Linked DNA regions of Drosophila melanogaster. The protein of the gene in region 3 interacts with the protein of the main gene of each other region in a pairwise test. Each region holds a gene or a part of one and is shown on either strand. Other genes may lie near its edges. The genes, in order: CG14313, CG13067, CG6576 and ssp.

What was found.
Region 1: the proteins of CG6576 (region 3) and CG14313 interact in a two-hybrid assay, tested with the Drosophila melanogaster proteins (one large-scale study listed by BioGRID).
Region 2: the proteins of CG6576 (region 3) and CG13067 interact in a two-hybrid assay, tested with the Drosophila melanogaster proteins (one large-scale study listed by BioGRID).
Region 4: the proteins of CG6576 (region 3) and ssp interact in a two-hybrid assay, tested with the Drosophila melanogaster proteins (one large-scale study listed by BioGRID).

What each region holds. Positions count from the first base shown.
Region 1 is NT_033777.3:18,190,744-18,194,558, forward strand, and holds CG14313 (uncharacterized protein), read right to left. Parts: upstream 1,225-3,815; 5' UTR 1,061-1,224; coding exon 788-1,060; intron 716-787; coding exon 581-715; 3' UTR 501-580; downstream 1-500. Other genes in the region: MED17 (mediator complex subunit 17), read left to right, coding at 1-302, 366-449.
Region 2 is NT_037436.4:16,269,488-16,272,770, reverse strand, and holds CG13067 (uncharacterized protein), read right to left. Parts: upstream 1,490-3,283; 5' UTR 1,432-1,489; coding exon 1,420-1,431; intron 1,347-1,419; coding exon 1,119-1,346; 3' UTR 853-1,118; downstream 1-852. Other genes in the region: CG34248 (uncharacterized protein), read left to right, coding at 1,973-2,269; CG13068 (uncharacterized protein), read right to left, coding at 2,937-3,254.
Region 3 is NT_037436.4:8,754,059-8,758,108, reverse strand, and holds CG6576 (uncharacterized protein), read right to left. Parts: upstream 2,121-4,050; 5' UTR 1,927-2,120; coding exon 1,123-1,926; 3' UTR 942-1,122; downstream 1-941. Other genes in the region: Fhos (formin homology 2 domain containing), read right to left, coding at 3,614-3,634.
Region 4 is NT_037436.4:12,116,553-12,120,757, reverse strand, and holds ssp (sunspot), read right to left. Parts: upstream 2,502-4,205; 5' UTR 2,444-2,501; coding exon 2,132-2,443; intron 2,071-2,131; coding exon 1,847-2,070; intron 1,787-1,846; coding exon 1,216-1,786; 3' UTR 969-1,215; downstream 1-968. Other genes in the region: CG11560 (uncharacterized protein), read right to left, coding at 1-115, 170-676; vers (versatile), read right to left, coding at 2,909-3,321, 3,387-3,514, 3,588-3,994.

The DNA.
Region 1 (3,815 bases), on a different chromosome or scaffold from region 3:
TGATCCTCTGCCAGATCAACTCTCACCAGATCTCCTGCCTGATCAGTCTAGCGCGCTGCATGTCCTGGACCGTGCTGTCGAACAGCAACCACTTGGGTATCGGCAAGGTGGAGCCGCTGGGAAATGCCAGTTCCTGCCTTCTGGCATCTCCCAATAGCGATCGCATGATTGCCGTTCAGATTCGCTGCGATCCGCAGATAGATGTTAAAGTTTATATAGCGAGAAGTCCACGACAGGATTTCTTTCCCAGTCCACTGGTGCCGGAAAAGCTATGGGAGAATCTGGGAGGCACATTCAAGGAGGTGAGTCCACTATTGGAAAGCAGTCGAAAAAAAACAGAGCCATTAATTTTGATTTGTTTCTAGGTGAGGTTCGACAAAATCGAAGGCAAGAGCTTTCTCAACAAAATGGAGTTTCTGATGGCCTCGCTGACAAGTAACACGGCCTGAAAACCCGTCACATGCATACCCACTAGATTGTAAATCAAATTAGAATTAATTAAAGTAAAAAAATTTGTAATTTACATACGAGACTTCTGCTATTGCAATGTTTAGATATAATCTATTGAGGTGCTTTCAGTTCAGTGCATCAGGCTGTAGCTGACGTTGTTCTTCCACAGGCGTGGCTGGTAGTTCATAGACTCCGGCGACATATTGCGCTGCTGCATGATGCTAAAGGTGTCCTCCAGGCTGACCACATTCGCCCGATTGGTGCTCTGCAGACAGAGAGAGATAGAGAGTTGTGTGACCTCCGTACACGGATTACTTCCCTACGAAATTGAACTCACCCAGCGCTCCAGATCGCAGAAGCTGATGTTGTAGTTCTGTCCGCTTGGCTGCAGTGTCATCACCTCCATCTGATCTGCCAGTGGTTGGGCCAGGCGCAGATAGAGTCCACGGTTGGTGGAAAACAGGACGGGTACTCGCTTGGCTGGCGCTGATCCTGCGCCCGTTCCGGCACCTGGAATCTGTCGGTAGGTCGGGCAATGATTGAGCGTAGACACCGCCTCCTCCGGCAGCTGTGCATCGCTGGCGCCGCCAACTGTCCGCATCAGACCCATGCAAGTGTAAAAACAGGACGCCACTTTGCCGCATTTATGGGTCTGGTGGCCGTACTCGATTTACTGATCTCGCTAGCAGCCGCCGGATGAACTTCGCTGTATTTGCATGGTTCCACACACTTCTGCTGAACCTATTGATTTTGTGCAGCGCCAAGCCAAACCAACGTCAACACGCTGCCAGTGTCCAGTCGCTGTGTGTATCCAGCTCCCACCATTTGTATGGGCCACAATCGAACGGCCGGTTGCCCCGACAACCTGGTGGTAGCCCTACACCCGTTCCCTGACCGCTCGCTGGTGTTCATTCATTAGGCATGTGCGTGTGCCGGACCAATTGTCTCAGCCAGAGCCAGATAGGCAGATAGTCAAGCCAGCCAGCCGGCCACACGCGTTTCTGCAAAATTGTTCAATTACTGCCAGCGGGAACTGAAATCTCTTTGATGATGTATGCAATCAGCAGATTGGCTCCAACTGGCGGTGTTGTGATTGCAAATAGCAGGCGATTATGGATGACCAAGTGGATGTTGTGGCTAAATCAATGTTAAGCTGTCACTATCCCTCGGAGAATAGTTATGATCACTAAGATCACCTACATATCTTCTAATTAAATGGTATCTTATAGATACTCTAACTTTAAAATCCTAGTTTTAGAATCCATTTTGAAACCCTTAAAAAAAACGCTTCTATTTCTTTACTTTTTACAAATATTGTTTTAAAACTTTATTTCATTTTTATATTATATTGTTGTTGTTTTGTTTGTGTTGTGTACTTGTAAATTGTATAATTAACACTAAAATACTTATTTAAACATATTCCATATTCAATCGGTTTTTTGTTTTGTATTCCCTTCATTATTTTTTTTCGATTTTTCCGTGTTACTTTTTGCAATTTTTTTGTTTTTATTATTTGTTGTTGGGGCGACTTATACCTTTTGTTTACTTAATTCCGCTCCATTACACTTATATAATTTATTTTTTTTGTTTGTGGTTTTTATAGATCCAGCAATTGAAACGCTCAAACCCAAAGCGTTAGTAAATAAATTTAACTTAGTCACTATTTAAGTTTTTTCGCTTGCATTCCATACTATAATTTAGATATAATTCATGCAGCACATACTATAAATTTCTCCACTCCGCTCTCGATCGTATTATAAATTCCGACACATTAAACATATACAATATTTAAAATAGACTTTTCCATTTTTCTTGTTTAATTAATTTATCAATTGATTTGTGTGTGTGTGTGTGTGGGTGTGTGTAGTTTGTGGTGTGTGTGTCTGTGTTTTGCTCCAAAGAAATTAGTTTCTCCGTTTGTGTATATATTCCTTTTGATTTGTTTATGTTGCTGGGCTTATAGATTAGCTTCGTTTCTAATGCTACTATAGGGGTTCGGGATCGGGTTGGTTGGTTGGTTGGTTTCTCTATGAATGCTAAGTGTGCTGCTGTATCGCTAAAAGGATGCTAGCACAGACATATACAATGTGTATATATTAGATTTATTTATATATATATATATGTTTTATGCACTTTAAGACTTTTGTTTGTACAGCATTCAAGTTAAGTGTGATATTTGAAGTAAACTTTTCATTAGATTATGATTTCTACAATTGTTTGCTGCATCTGCGCTGCTTTTTTGCTTTACGAAATATATATTATATACTTTTATATGCATATTAAACAGCTAAATCTTATAGTTATACGCGTAGCTATTTTGCAATAAATTAGTGCATACAATAGGCTACATCTGTATCGGCTTCTGCTTCTGTCTATATATATATAAGGTTTACATATAGCTAGCTTTTCATATAATTTTCATTCGCTGCCCTAATGCACACACAATGCCGTCGTGAGGAAATCGAAACGAGTGCAAACTGCTGCCGCTCTCCAAAGTGAGGAAAATCGTACAGTACATATCGCATTGTATCTCATGCTCATGCCATACAAATGGTATTATTGCTCGCCGTTTGGAAGGAACTTAAATAACGATTTTCATTTTAGTTGTTTGGTTAAAATATATATAAATACATACGAACGCATATACACGACAAATGGTTGAGACAAAAAGACACAAAACAATACAACAAATACGTTTTTTGAACGAAACAAACCAAACAAACAGACGGCAGACTGAATAGCGTAAGCGTAAGGAAACAAACGGACGCGTTCACAATTTGTACAATTAGAGTTGAGAATTGAATCGAAAACGAATAAAATTTGGGCCAAGCCAAACGATCTAGACACATTGACCACATTTTGTAAAATGGAGCGCAGTTCAAGATGAGTGCACGTGAATGAGTGTGGTTGGTTACAGACTATCTCCATATACAAGTCCAATAATGCTAACTATATACTCCAACTAGGTATTATGTATATCATTTTAATTATACCATTCATATGCTTGCTTTCGTTTTGCTGCCTTGCTAAGATAAAAAAAAAAAACAAAAACAATTGAACTGCGATTATGTGGTATGGTCTGATTTCTACATGAGCAAGTGAATTGAATCGGTATTATTGGGATCTTGGGAGTTTGCAGTGAGGTGAGTGCTTGCAACAACTAAACTAAACACAAGGCTCACTAAACTTGTTGCATACATGTTTAACATTACTTTAAGCAAACAGTCGAATGTCCGCAAGGCGAACTATATTCGTTACATAGATCTAGTCCGACTTACGAATATTCGACCGCATTTGTTTGTTCATTACGATTACAGTTTTTGTTGCTTGGTTTTGTTTTCATTACATTTCAGTATTATCTCAAG
Region 2 (3,283 bases), 7.5 Mb from region 3:
ACTGGCACAATTATAATGTTGCAGATTTGTGTTTGTCGATATGCCTGCGAATAGTACGCATTCCTTGTGAATTTATTATTGAAAATGAATGTTTTTTCCCGCTCATCTTGAGCATTTCCGCAACTGGCGTCAGCAGCTGTCGTTTGCCGATTGAATTATCATAATTTAGCACTCAGTGCGTTTTGTGGGCTGTGAACGTGCGTGTCATTCCAACCGTCTTGGCCATCTCCGGAGTTCGGCTCACTCTGTACGTTTCAATTGTCAGCCACTCGAACACGCCACTTTGCATTCTAATCAGAGATGCAAGTAAAAATAGAAGCGGTTTATCCAGTTTCGAAGGACGTCATCGAGTTGAGCCCTTGGCTTAAGGTTGAGGACACCAGAAACAGGGAATCGAAAGCTTTGCATAAATGGAATCGCGAGTTCAATAAACCGGAGGTCTCGTTGACCCTATTAATCCAATGCAAACATGGACATTCCACCACGAAGAACACAACCTCCTTTACACTTCCTTTTTTTTTAACAAATAATAGGTTTTAAGTCCAAAAAATAATTTCCAATGTATCAAAGCAATTTATTGATACAAAGCTTAAAAAAGTCATTGATTCCTTCCAGCCCACCAAAATTAAAAAATGTAGGGGCTAGCAATTTATGAAACTAGTGTGAGAAATATTTACTGAAAATATGATATCACCTACTTTATAAATAATATTTCCATTGGATTTTAATGTATACCAAATTTAGTACTTAGTACCCATTGCAAAAGAGTACTGCCTAAAAGTATGTGATTATACATACTCCCTTCACATTAGAGATGAATAAGTGATGCAATAAATTATGAACAAGTGGTATACGTTTTACGCAAAATGCAGTATTTATTTCAACAAAAATATTCCCTTTCTTGAAGTGGTATGTCCTGTTCCCATGACTTAACTTTCAGCAGTCGGCAGAGGTGGGGAAATGTAGAGTCTGTCGAACTAACACCAGGGATGTAAGAAGATTGGATGTTGCAGGTGGTTAGCAGGAAGGTGTGTATCCTTGTTGCAATAGATGTGTATATGTTTATATTCAGGTCCAGTTCAGCAGTCAGGTTAAGATCACGATCCATTCATCCAGTCTTAACGGTAGTAGGCGGCATAGGGGTAGGCGGAGTAGGCGGACGCATAGGGGTACGTGTAGGCGGAGTAGGCGGCGGCCACTGGAGCGGTGTATGCCGCGGTGTAGGCAGCCGAGTAAGGAGCAGCTGCCACATAGGGAGCGGAGTAGGCGCTGTAGGCCAGAGGAGAAGCGAGCACCGCCGGCTTGGCAGAGACGCAGGCCACGATGGCGAACAGGCACAGAGCGAACTGAAAGGATAGGAAAAGTGCTTATGAGTAATCCGTTGTTTGGTGGCAAGTCCAGCTATCCTGCGATCCTTACGTATTTGAACATGTTGGCTGTTTGGGTTGGTTGTGAACTGTTGGTTCTCAAGTACTAGACTGATATCTCCTAGTGCCCGAGTACTCGGGTATATATAGCAGAATCGGTCGAGAAAATTCCATTCCAATTCCCCACATTGAAGCGAAGGTGATGCGTGGCCATTGGTATGCACATCCATTCCCAGATCGGTTCCAAGTCCATTTTGAAGCCAGCCAAGGAGAATCTTGAGCATTATGGCTTTGCACTTTTGGTTTCGTTTGGTATTTTTAAAAGCGTGACGAAAAGCGAAAAACAAATCGAATGTGAGTCCGTGTTTTGCATACTAAAACGTAGCTGGATATTGATCCATCCATCGGCAAGTCTGGAAATGACCCACAAAAACTGCCGGGTTGGGTTCAGAAATTTATAAAGCTGGGTTCTGTCGCTCCAGTCATGTTTATTTCGTTTTCAGAACGTTGAGCTATCAGATCTTATCAGCTCGGATTAGCTATGTACAGGAAATTAGTAAGTCTCAAGCGGTTATCCGCCGAGAAGTCGATGCACTTGCTCAAAGATGATGAGGCCTCGCCATCGGTGGCCATTTCAGGTGGTGCTCCTCCTTCTGATCCACCTGGCGGCCGCGGGTCAGATCCAGGATGCTGCCGAGGAGATCGATGTGCCGCCTGCCCATCGGGCTGCTCCACCACCGCCCCGCCAGGCAGCTGGAGCTGCTGTTCCCCCACCACCACTGGGGCCACCACCACTTGTGGGCTCTGCACCGCCGCCGAGCTATCCTTTGTTCTACCCAGCTGCGTGGCTGCCATTCGGACGCTACAGCAACTCCATTCCCGTCCACATAGTGGCTGCCTAGGGGAGCGTCCTCCCACTGGCCATAAGGTGGTCAAAGGACACTGTTGTCCCTCCTGTTGAATCCTTTCCCTGTTATGGTTGCTATTTTACTCGTTATTGCCCGCTTTAAGCCAGAAATATATTTTTAGACACGCACATGCATAATTATTTATTCGGGTTGACGCAACTTTCAGTCGGCAATTTTTAAATGGCCAACACGTGATTCTCCTACCAGAGATGCCGGTTACCTATACATTTCGAGAAATCTATCACTTTTGCCATCTGTGATTTGTCAATGGATGATGACGCAACTGAATTGGTATTTTTTCGGGCTACATTTCCGCATTTTAAGTGGGCAGAACAGACGCTGCCAGAACAAAAGGTTTAGAAAAGGTGACAGTAAAAAAATATTAATTATAAAAAACGTATATGTTTAGGTGACTTTCTTTTTAAATACTATCAAGAACTTTTGTTGCCGCCAAAAGATTGAGAAATAATAATTAATAGTAGAAAATCCATTAAAAAGTATTAATAATATATAACTATAGCTTTTTTGCTATTGAAAAACAGAACTTGGTGTTCCCATTTCCAGAATAATATTTTTAAGCTTTTAGTTTGATTTGTTTTATTGCCAGTCGGGTCTATTTTTATTCCATTTCAAATCCGTTTTGAATACTTGTTAATCCGTTTTACAAAACAGTGGTGTATGCAGCGCTGTAAGGGTAGGCGGCATACGGATAAGCAGAGTAGGCAGCGGCAACTGGAGCGGTATAAGCAGCGGCGGCAACTGGAGCGGTATAGGCAGCGGCGGCAACTGGAGCGGTGTAGGCAGCGGCAACAACTGGAGCAGCAGCCACACCGTTGAAGTTGCGGGCCACGTACTGCGAACTGGTAGCGGTGACCACGCCGGCAGGAGCAGCTGCAACCACTGGAGCGGCGGCCAGGATAGCGGGCTTGGGCTCAGCCGAGGAGCAGGCCACCAGAGCGCACAGGACAACGAGGGCAGACTGTACGGAAATAACCAGTTAATATAATA
Region 3 (4,050 bases):
TTTTCAGGAATTTCTCGATGTAAATCACTTCAAATAGGGGGCTCTTCCCAAGTGGCTCCCATCCCGGCGAATGACAACTATCCGGGAATAAAAAATAATATTATTACATTTCCAGGCGCCCGCCCAATGTGAAGAATTGGCGAGCGAGCGAGAGGGAGTGAGGAAGAAAGAAAGACAGACAGTCTCGGCTAATTGTTTTCGCTCAGTGAAATGGAATGCCAAACACACAAATAGCCAACAATGTGCAAAACAAGCAAACGGAGACACTCAGCCGGAGGAGAAAAAGAGTGGAGGATCGTGATGGTGTGGATGTGGATGGGCCTATGGATCTTCTCTGGAATGACTTCGCCATGTGTACTTTGTTCACCGCCGATTCCAGCGGAGTGCTGCACTTCTGACAGCATTATTATGCGGTCTCAATTAGGAGATTGCAGAATCTCGGAGTCTGCAGATCAGGAGCAGGATGCGCTATAATGCGCCTGTCTGTCAGTAGCCACAGCCCATTAAGAACGACCAGGAAAGCCATCCACTCACAAAGTATTTAGACTGTGACCCCAGATGATTCGAAGTGGCGACTGAATATTCGCTTGCCAGACAAATGATTTATTTTTAAATACGTTTTCTATTGTAGTTTGCTCTGACGAAAGTGTCGAAAATGCGTTTCGGGAAACTCAACTATGTGGAGATCGGCGCTTAAAAGGATAATGAAATATTCAACCCCAGAAAGTCGTTCAAACATAAATTTCCAAACAAATTAAATTAGTTAATCTGAAAATTATAGTGATTATAACCAATTTATGAGTTATAATCAATTCCGAGCTTATTCATTTTCGATATTTTCCGAATGTTTATTAATTTTTTTCGATATTTACATATATGTACTAAATCGAACCTTATTTTAAATAACTAAATCGCACTTTTTTTCGTAACAAATAATTATTCCCGTTTTTACTCCTCAGCCAATTCTATATTTAAAGCCAAACAAGTTCTTATACAGAAGGGCTACCAATTCACGAAGATCAACAATTTTACCAAGTATTCAAAGATCTAACCAACTGCCAAATTGCTATTCTATTTGGGACTAGTCTTTCTTTTTTATCCTTGGCGCCGATTCCAAATGTGTTATCTATACTGATTATCATCTCGATCCGTTTCCGGATCTTCAGTCAAATCAGTAGTTGGCGGTGGATCCGTTTCCGTATCTGGATCGGATTTCGTAAACTCATCCGGTTCAAGACTGCCCACAAGTCCCAGATCTTGGGTCTCTGGCTCAAATGGATCCCAACACGGAGCCTTCGGTGGTTCATTGATAATCGAATCACGCATGGCACGCATTCCCATCTCAAGGGCGCAGTCCATGGAATTTCTGTCAGGTGGTTCGCGGGTTAGAGGCCCATTGAAATGCACATAAATGTCTCCCTGGGCAGCCAAATCTAGTCCGTAGGTGGTTAGATCCTCACCAAAGACCAGCTGCGTGGCGCCCGGATCCGTTTGCGTAGTCCTCATGGCGGCCAGCAGCCCAATGATCCCAAATTGATCTGACAGCATCGTGGCCGGAATATTAGTGAATTTCCCATCGTCTGTACTACGTATTCCCGCGGCATTTGTGTTCGTTGAGGAGGAGGTAGATGCCACCTCGGGCTCCTGCAACACTGATTCATAAGAGGGCTGACCAAAAAGATCAGCAAACGTGGGCATCGACGGCTGGCGATCGTAGAGTTCCGGGAAGAGTTTGTAATCCGATTCGATTTCAGATTCTACGCTCGAAGTGCTGACGACTTCCGGTGGCTCTTCGCTGGGCGGATCCGGCAAGGGCGGTGGACGTTGTGGCTCTACCTTTTCTGCACTGGGTGCAGTCTCCTGTTTCTTCTTTCTCAGCGCTATCGAGGGATTCACCTTACATCGTGGACGTCGACGCCGTGTCATTTTTTATCTTTTTATCAAAAAATGTCCTTGACTTGTGTCTGTGTTCGAGTGTTGTGGGGGGCTTGGGTGGCAGTTGGGTGGACGGGTGAGTGTGCGTGGATAATCTCGGACTCAGATAGCTTGATTCATAAATCCTTATCTCGAAGCCTATTTGAGAAGCGCCTATCACCGCCTTCCTTTGTGCTACACTACAACAAATTTTGATCTGTTTTGATGAATAATTCAAATGAAAACTGATTGTGATCGCATTGTGTGTGACGAGTAGAGATATTTCTAATGAAATCAATAATCGAAACAATGTTTAATCATTACCGCTTTCGCTAATACATTATGAATATAAATTTAGTTATATGATAATATATACTTATTTTTTTTGAATATGAAGTTAAAAGCTTTAGTTATATTTGCAACTTTATTGTTTCTCCATTACCGTTCCCCTACTTTCTCCCCTCACAAACAAATTGCATGAGTATTCACACTTTGTTAATTAATTAGGTGGTGCGTGCTCTCACCGGAGAACTTTCAACTTTATGCTTGTCATAAATATTTACAACTTCCTTCTGGCCATAAAAATCCTACACAAAGTACCAACTCCAATGAGGAAAAAAGAGACTGCGTCAACGTGAACGAAACAGAAATCATTTTGCTTTACTCCCAACATTTTTAGAAACATTCTATATATAATTGGAGAAATGACTCGGGAGAAGATGAAGTGGTAGATGTGCGTGGGATGGGGTGGAAACTTGTTGTTTGCCGCCCATAAATTGATCAGTTTATTAGATTCTAAGACCCGAAAAATATTTAATTGATTTATGCTCAATGAGTCAAAAGTCAGGCTAAAGTCATAAACTGGATGCCTGGGAACAAAAGGATATAATGAGTTGAACATAAAGGGGATTAGTAGAAAGCGATTTGGAAGTTTGGGAATGACAACCGAAATTAAGTGTATTTATATTATAGGATAGATATAGAAATAATGCACTTTTTATATAAAAGTTCACAAGTATCACATGATGTCGAACGGGTTAATAATATAAATAAATATGATGATAAGTTCAATAAATAACACAAAATGTTTACTTGGGAACTGTCAGTCATTGGTCAGTATCAATAATGAATCTGCCATAAAGTATGTCAAATAACTCAAAATTAATTCCTTTGACAACTGTGCATATACGCAAATACTAACATAAATCAAGTTAAATAGGTTTAAAATTCGGAACTTAACCTGCTTTGCCAAAGTAAAAGCCATTTATTCATGCATTGGTTTGCTATTCAAACACAACAATTCGTTCATTCAGTAGCCACACCTCGGCCATAATTTGTGCTATTTGTGTGGATAGGAAATTAGAACAATCAACTAGACACAAATCCCAACCAAAAAACCAGACAATGAGCAAATTTGTATCTAAATTGTTTATCAATGGATCTGGAGCCCACACCACATCGAGAGCGAACATTCAGATACATTTTATCTGCCATATAAAACGTATACGTATGTATCTGCGAAATACTCTTGTGTGTGGGGTAAGGCAACAAATTAGAAATAAACAAAATCCGTGGATGCGAAGAATTGCAAAAAGGCACAGAGCGAAGATACAAAGATCGAGATACACACTATATAGTACGAGTAGGTATTATGCAGATACAGATACGGATAGTTGGCGCTGCATTAACTAGTACTTACATAACTGCGGTAGGACGACATTACGTTGCTCTTGGCAAGCGATCCTCGATCGCAGATCGGATCAAAATTCGGTCACAATGTATGTTTATCGCCCTTTCAAAATTGGTGTATAATTTATTTTGGTATGGCCTGGGTTTGGTAATCCAATCTGGCAAACACTCGCGCGAGATCGAAACGGAGGAACTCGAACCGCTGACGACAATTACGAAAACGTATCTGCCGGATGCCGACTCTCAATTGCAATAGATGCAAAATAAATTAGATGCACTTACTGAAATCGCGCGCGTGCGACAAATTTCTACGACACTCTCTCTGCATTCCCCTATTTTATTCAATTTTATTTTATTGTATTTATTTCTTTTCTGCTAAGTAAACTATTATTTCCTTTGCTTTTATTTGCGCTGGGCGATACTCCGAGATCGGTATCGGGATCGGCC
Region 4 (4,205 bases), 3.4 Mb from region 3:
TCTCGTCTTCCGGCTCCTCTGGTTCAGTCGACAAGTTCTCCTCGGAGAAGAGCTTCAGCAGGGGTCTGGAGTGGGAGGATTCCAATTCACGTTTTGATTTCAGCTGCAGGATAATCTAAATTATGTAGTTTCAGCTTGACTTGTATGGGTATAAAAGTGCAGTACTTACAGTCTGCTCCTCCTCCAAAGAAGCCTCAATCTCATCATCCAGATCGCTGTACTGGGTCTCCGGATCCATGGTGACCTCATAGAACTGCTCACACTGCGTAGAATAGGATGTCGGCCGCCTGGTCTTCGGTTTCTGGACGCGCGGCGACGGTTGGCTAGCTGGTGGCGCGGGATCATGGTCGTAGGAGTGACTGCCGTCGGTGAGATGGCCGTTCTGCTTGATATACCGTACGTGGCACTTGTGGATGCGCAGATTGGAGGTGGTGCCGCCGGTGCTCTGCATCACACGCTTGCAGCCCATGCAGAAGTATCGCCATTTCAACTTGGTGCCGTCCGGACGAGCGATTTCCCGGTAGACGTTCCAAACGGAACTGCGCTTGTTCTTCTTCACCAGCCGATATTCACCGGAGTTGATCTTCATAAGGATGTCCAGCTGCGCCTCCATGCACTTCTCCTCCTCGGGGGCGTGTATGAAAAACATATTTCGCCTCGCAATCCTTATGGTCATAGTAAAAAAAATTAAAAACACAGAGCTCCGAACCAGGTGGCATCACCGGTGAGTTGGTTGCGATGTTCGATTACAATCGATATCGACATTCTATGTAATACCATGTATCGAATTTAATTTAATAGGAAAAGAAAAAATATTAACCACACAATTAAAAAAATAAAATACATATAATGTCATCTACAACAAATATTCTAAAACCAATCAAATTAATAGTTATTTCACTACTTTTCGTTTCAAATTTCAGATATACATGGTTTATATATAAATAAATTATATAAACGGCGAAGATATTACGACTTCATTTTATTAAATCTTAAACATATCTGCTGAATTGTAATAAAACGCAATGAATCACAAATCATTTTATACTTATTCGTATTTGAAATAAAAAATTGAGTGACTGCCGAAATGAGATATTTAAACTTTCTGTTACATGATTTTTTTAAAAATTCGTTGAATGTGATGCCTTTTAAGTTTACGTTAATAACGGTGGAAATGAACTTTATTGTGCAATCACTCAAATCGCGAACAGGTATTTATGCATGTGCGCCGCCTTTGGGATTAGATAGAAGATCCATGAAGTCCTTATGAAACGACGACATCTCTCGCACGAAAAATTTCATCAGTTTGCATTTTTTCCTCTCTATGACCAGCTTTTCCTCCTCTATTTCCATAATTCTGGCAGCTCTTTGACGCTTAGCAATTTTCATGTCCTCGGTCTTGGAATTCTGTTGATCGAGCTCGTCTTCATAGTTTTCCTGGGAATGAACTGTGGACGACTCTTCGATTTCCCTGATTATGTTATCCTTCAGAATACGCAGTTCATCCACGTCTTCTTGTGCTTCATCCGCATATTCGTTCATATCGAAGCTATCCCCTTCTCCAGGGTGTACTTTTTGGGACCTTAAGTAGTTCCTATCTATCAATGGTTCGTCAAGTTGACTGCCAAATGAATTGTGTTCGCTGGTCGTATTGGGTGCACTTCCAGACTTATCCAGAGGCATATTGTCAATTATGTTACGATCGGAACTAAATATCATCTTCATGGTCTCGAAGTATTCCCACTGGGATTTGTGTCCAGTTGTCTTTTCCATGTGCGATTCTCGCCTGAAATAAATTGTAATATTAGATAAGGAATATGCTTAAATAAGTATATTCACTTATTACCGATACTGTTGGCCCATGTCATCAATTTTGTTCTTTATCTCCGTGAACGTGAAACCCAGTGACTTCATCTCGCCCGTCATTTTCCAGATAACCTGGACCCGCTTGCGTGAGTCTCGCAAATCGACGCAGTGCCTTGCCCAAAGCTCGAGCAGCAGTTCGACCGCGTGGAATGACCACTCGGACGGCTGAAAGGAGTTCCAGCTCAGGCGGCGCTCCAACGAATCCTGCAAGTGAGACATGGTAATTTGGACTACTATTGACTTCTAATGGCGTCGTTGTACGTACGTCTAGTTTAGGGGGATGGATTTCCGCGATCCCCTCCTCGCACAGTTCCTCGGTACGCAGGTAGTCCACATGGCACTTGTGGGTGCGCAGATTGGACGTGTTGAAGGATCGCATGACGCGCTTGCAGCCCGTGCAGAAGTAGAGTCCATTGATTATGGCACCATCGGTGCGCACGATTTCCCGATACACCTTCCACACGGAGCCGCGCTGCTTGCGTCGTAGTAGCCGGTACTCGCCGCGGAGCACCTTCGCCGAGATCACCTGGTTGGATTCGAATTTTGATACGTCCTGCATCGTGCGGGCCTCAATCATGTCGTCCTTACGCTCGAAAAGTATAAACAAAATGTGCCTAGAGATGGGCAGCAGCTCGATATCGATTTTTCTAGAAATGGTCGGTATTGGCTTCATATATCTATCGATAGTTCTATGATATCGATTTAAATTATATCTAAAATACAAATAAAAAAACATTTTACGAATTGAGAAACTAAATGTAACAAATACGATTTAAAACAAATTTATAATATTAAAGTAAAGTAAGTAATTAAAGTTTTGCTAAAAAAAGTAAAATATAATTTCATTGCATTTATTTTTACTTAAGAAACTAATTTGTAAGATCATAACAATGCAAAATCTAGCTTTTTACAATATATATATATATATTTAGATTAATTTGAAGTTGAAGCAATATTACATTAAATATTCACTGTTTTAGTTGTATATTTTGCTGAAAAAGTAACACCACGCTACTTCTACGTATAACACTTAATATTTACACTACTGATTGTTATGCTTAAGCAAATAAACAATATCTTTGTGAAATGCGTTTAGCTCCAGCAGTGCATCCTTCATAACCTGCAGCTTTTCTCGCTCGATCGCCAGTTTTTCCTCCTCTATTTCAAGGAGTCTGTCCGAATGGTTGTTCGATGCTTTCCGTTTTGTCTGACATTTTGAAATTGGCGATGGGGAGAGATCCTTCATGTGGTCATCATCCTCCTCCTCCTCCTCCTCCTCCTCGTCTTCTTCCGGGATTTCCGGAATACTGGGAGAGGGAGTTCGCGTTCTTTTCATGGCTTTGCTAGCAACCATATCACTTTCGAATACGTTCCCATCGTCCCCGGCCATAGGCTCGTCTTTTAATGAAGACAATTCCTCAGGCTCATAATCCTCATCGCTGAACAAAGCTTGAGCTGTAAAATTAGCGTATTTTTAAGACATAATGACATAACTAGCATTTATTGCACTACGACTTTACCTGGATTTTCGGCGGTAATATCTTCGAAGACATCAACTGATTTCGTGCCAATCAGAAGTGCTTGAAGCTTATGAAAGTGCTCCCACTTGGATGGCACTCCAGTTTCCCGAACTCTCTCAGCTTCTATTCTGTAAATACCAATATAAAAGTTAATATACTATAAAAATAAAAACTTTTGGTATGCAAAATATAAGAGCGCACCTATACTTTCGCGACAAATTGTCCATTTTGGTTTTAAGCTCCGTGTGGCTGGGCCCAAACTGACTCATCTCCCTAGCCATTTGCCGGTAGATGATCACATTCTTGGACTCTCCACGAAAATCCTTCAAATGCTGTGCCCACAGTTGCAGCAACATCTTCTCCGCATCCTTTTTCCAAACGTGTCGCTCCGTTTTCGTATAGTAGTCCTCAAACTTTTCCTCCTTGCCAACATTCTTGGGCAATGGCGAGATGCCATTGGCTCGGATCGCTGGCTCAACGACCATTTTCTGTGCAACGTTTATCTTGGCGGTTCGCTGTGGTCCCGTCGGTGATCCTTCATCGCTCAACAGGGCTTGGAGTGAGCTCTTCATGCGCGGTCCTGGCTTACGACGTTCTGGTGTTATATTCTAGAAGAGTTAGTTGGTTTAGAAGCATGGTTACTGAGTGATTAATTAGAATTTTAGTATGTTCGCTAGTGGTCCATGTTGGACTATGTAACTGAAGTGGACTTTCATACAGAAATTAGGTCAAATTTGATATCCTATCACATGTTTTAACGAATCTCGCTTTGTAGTGCCAAAACACATTATGAAAAGGTAAACAGGTCTATTGCCACCC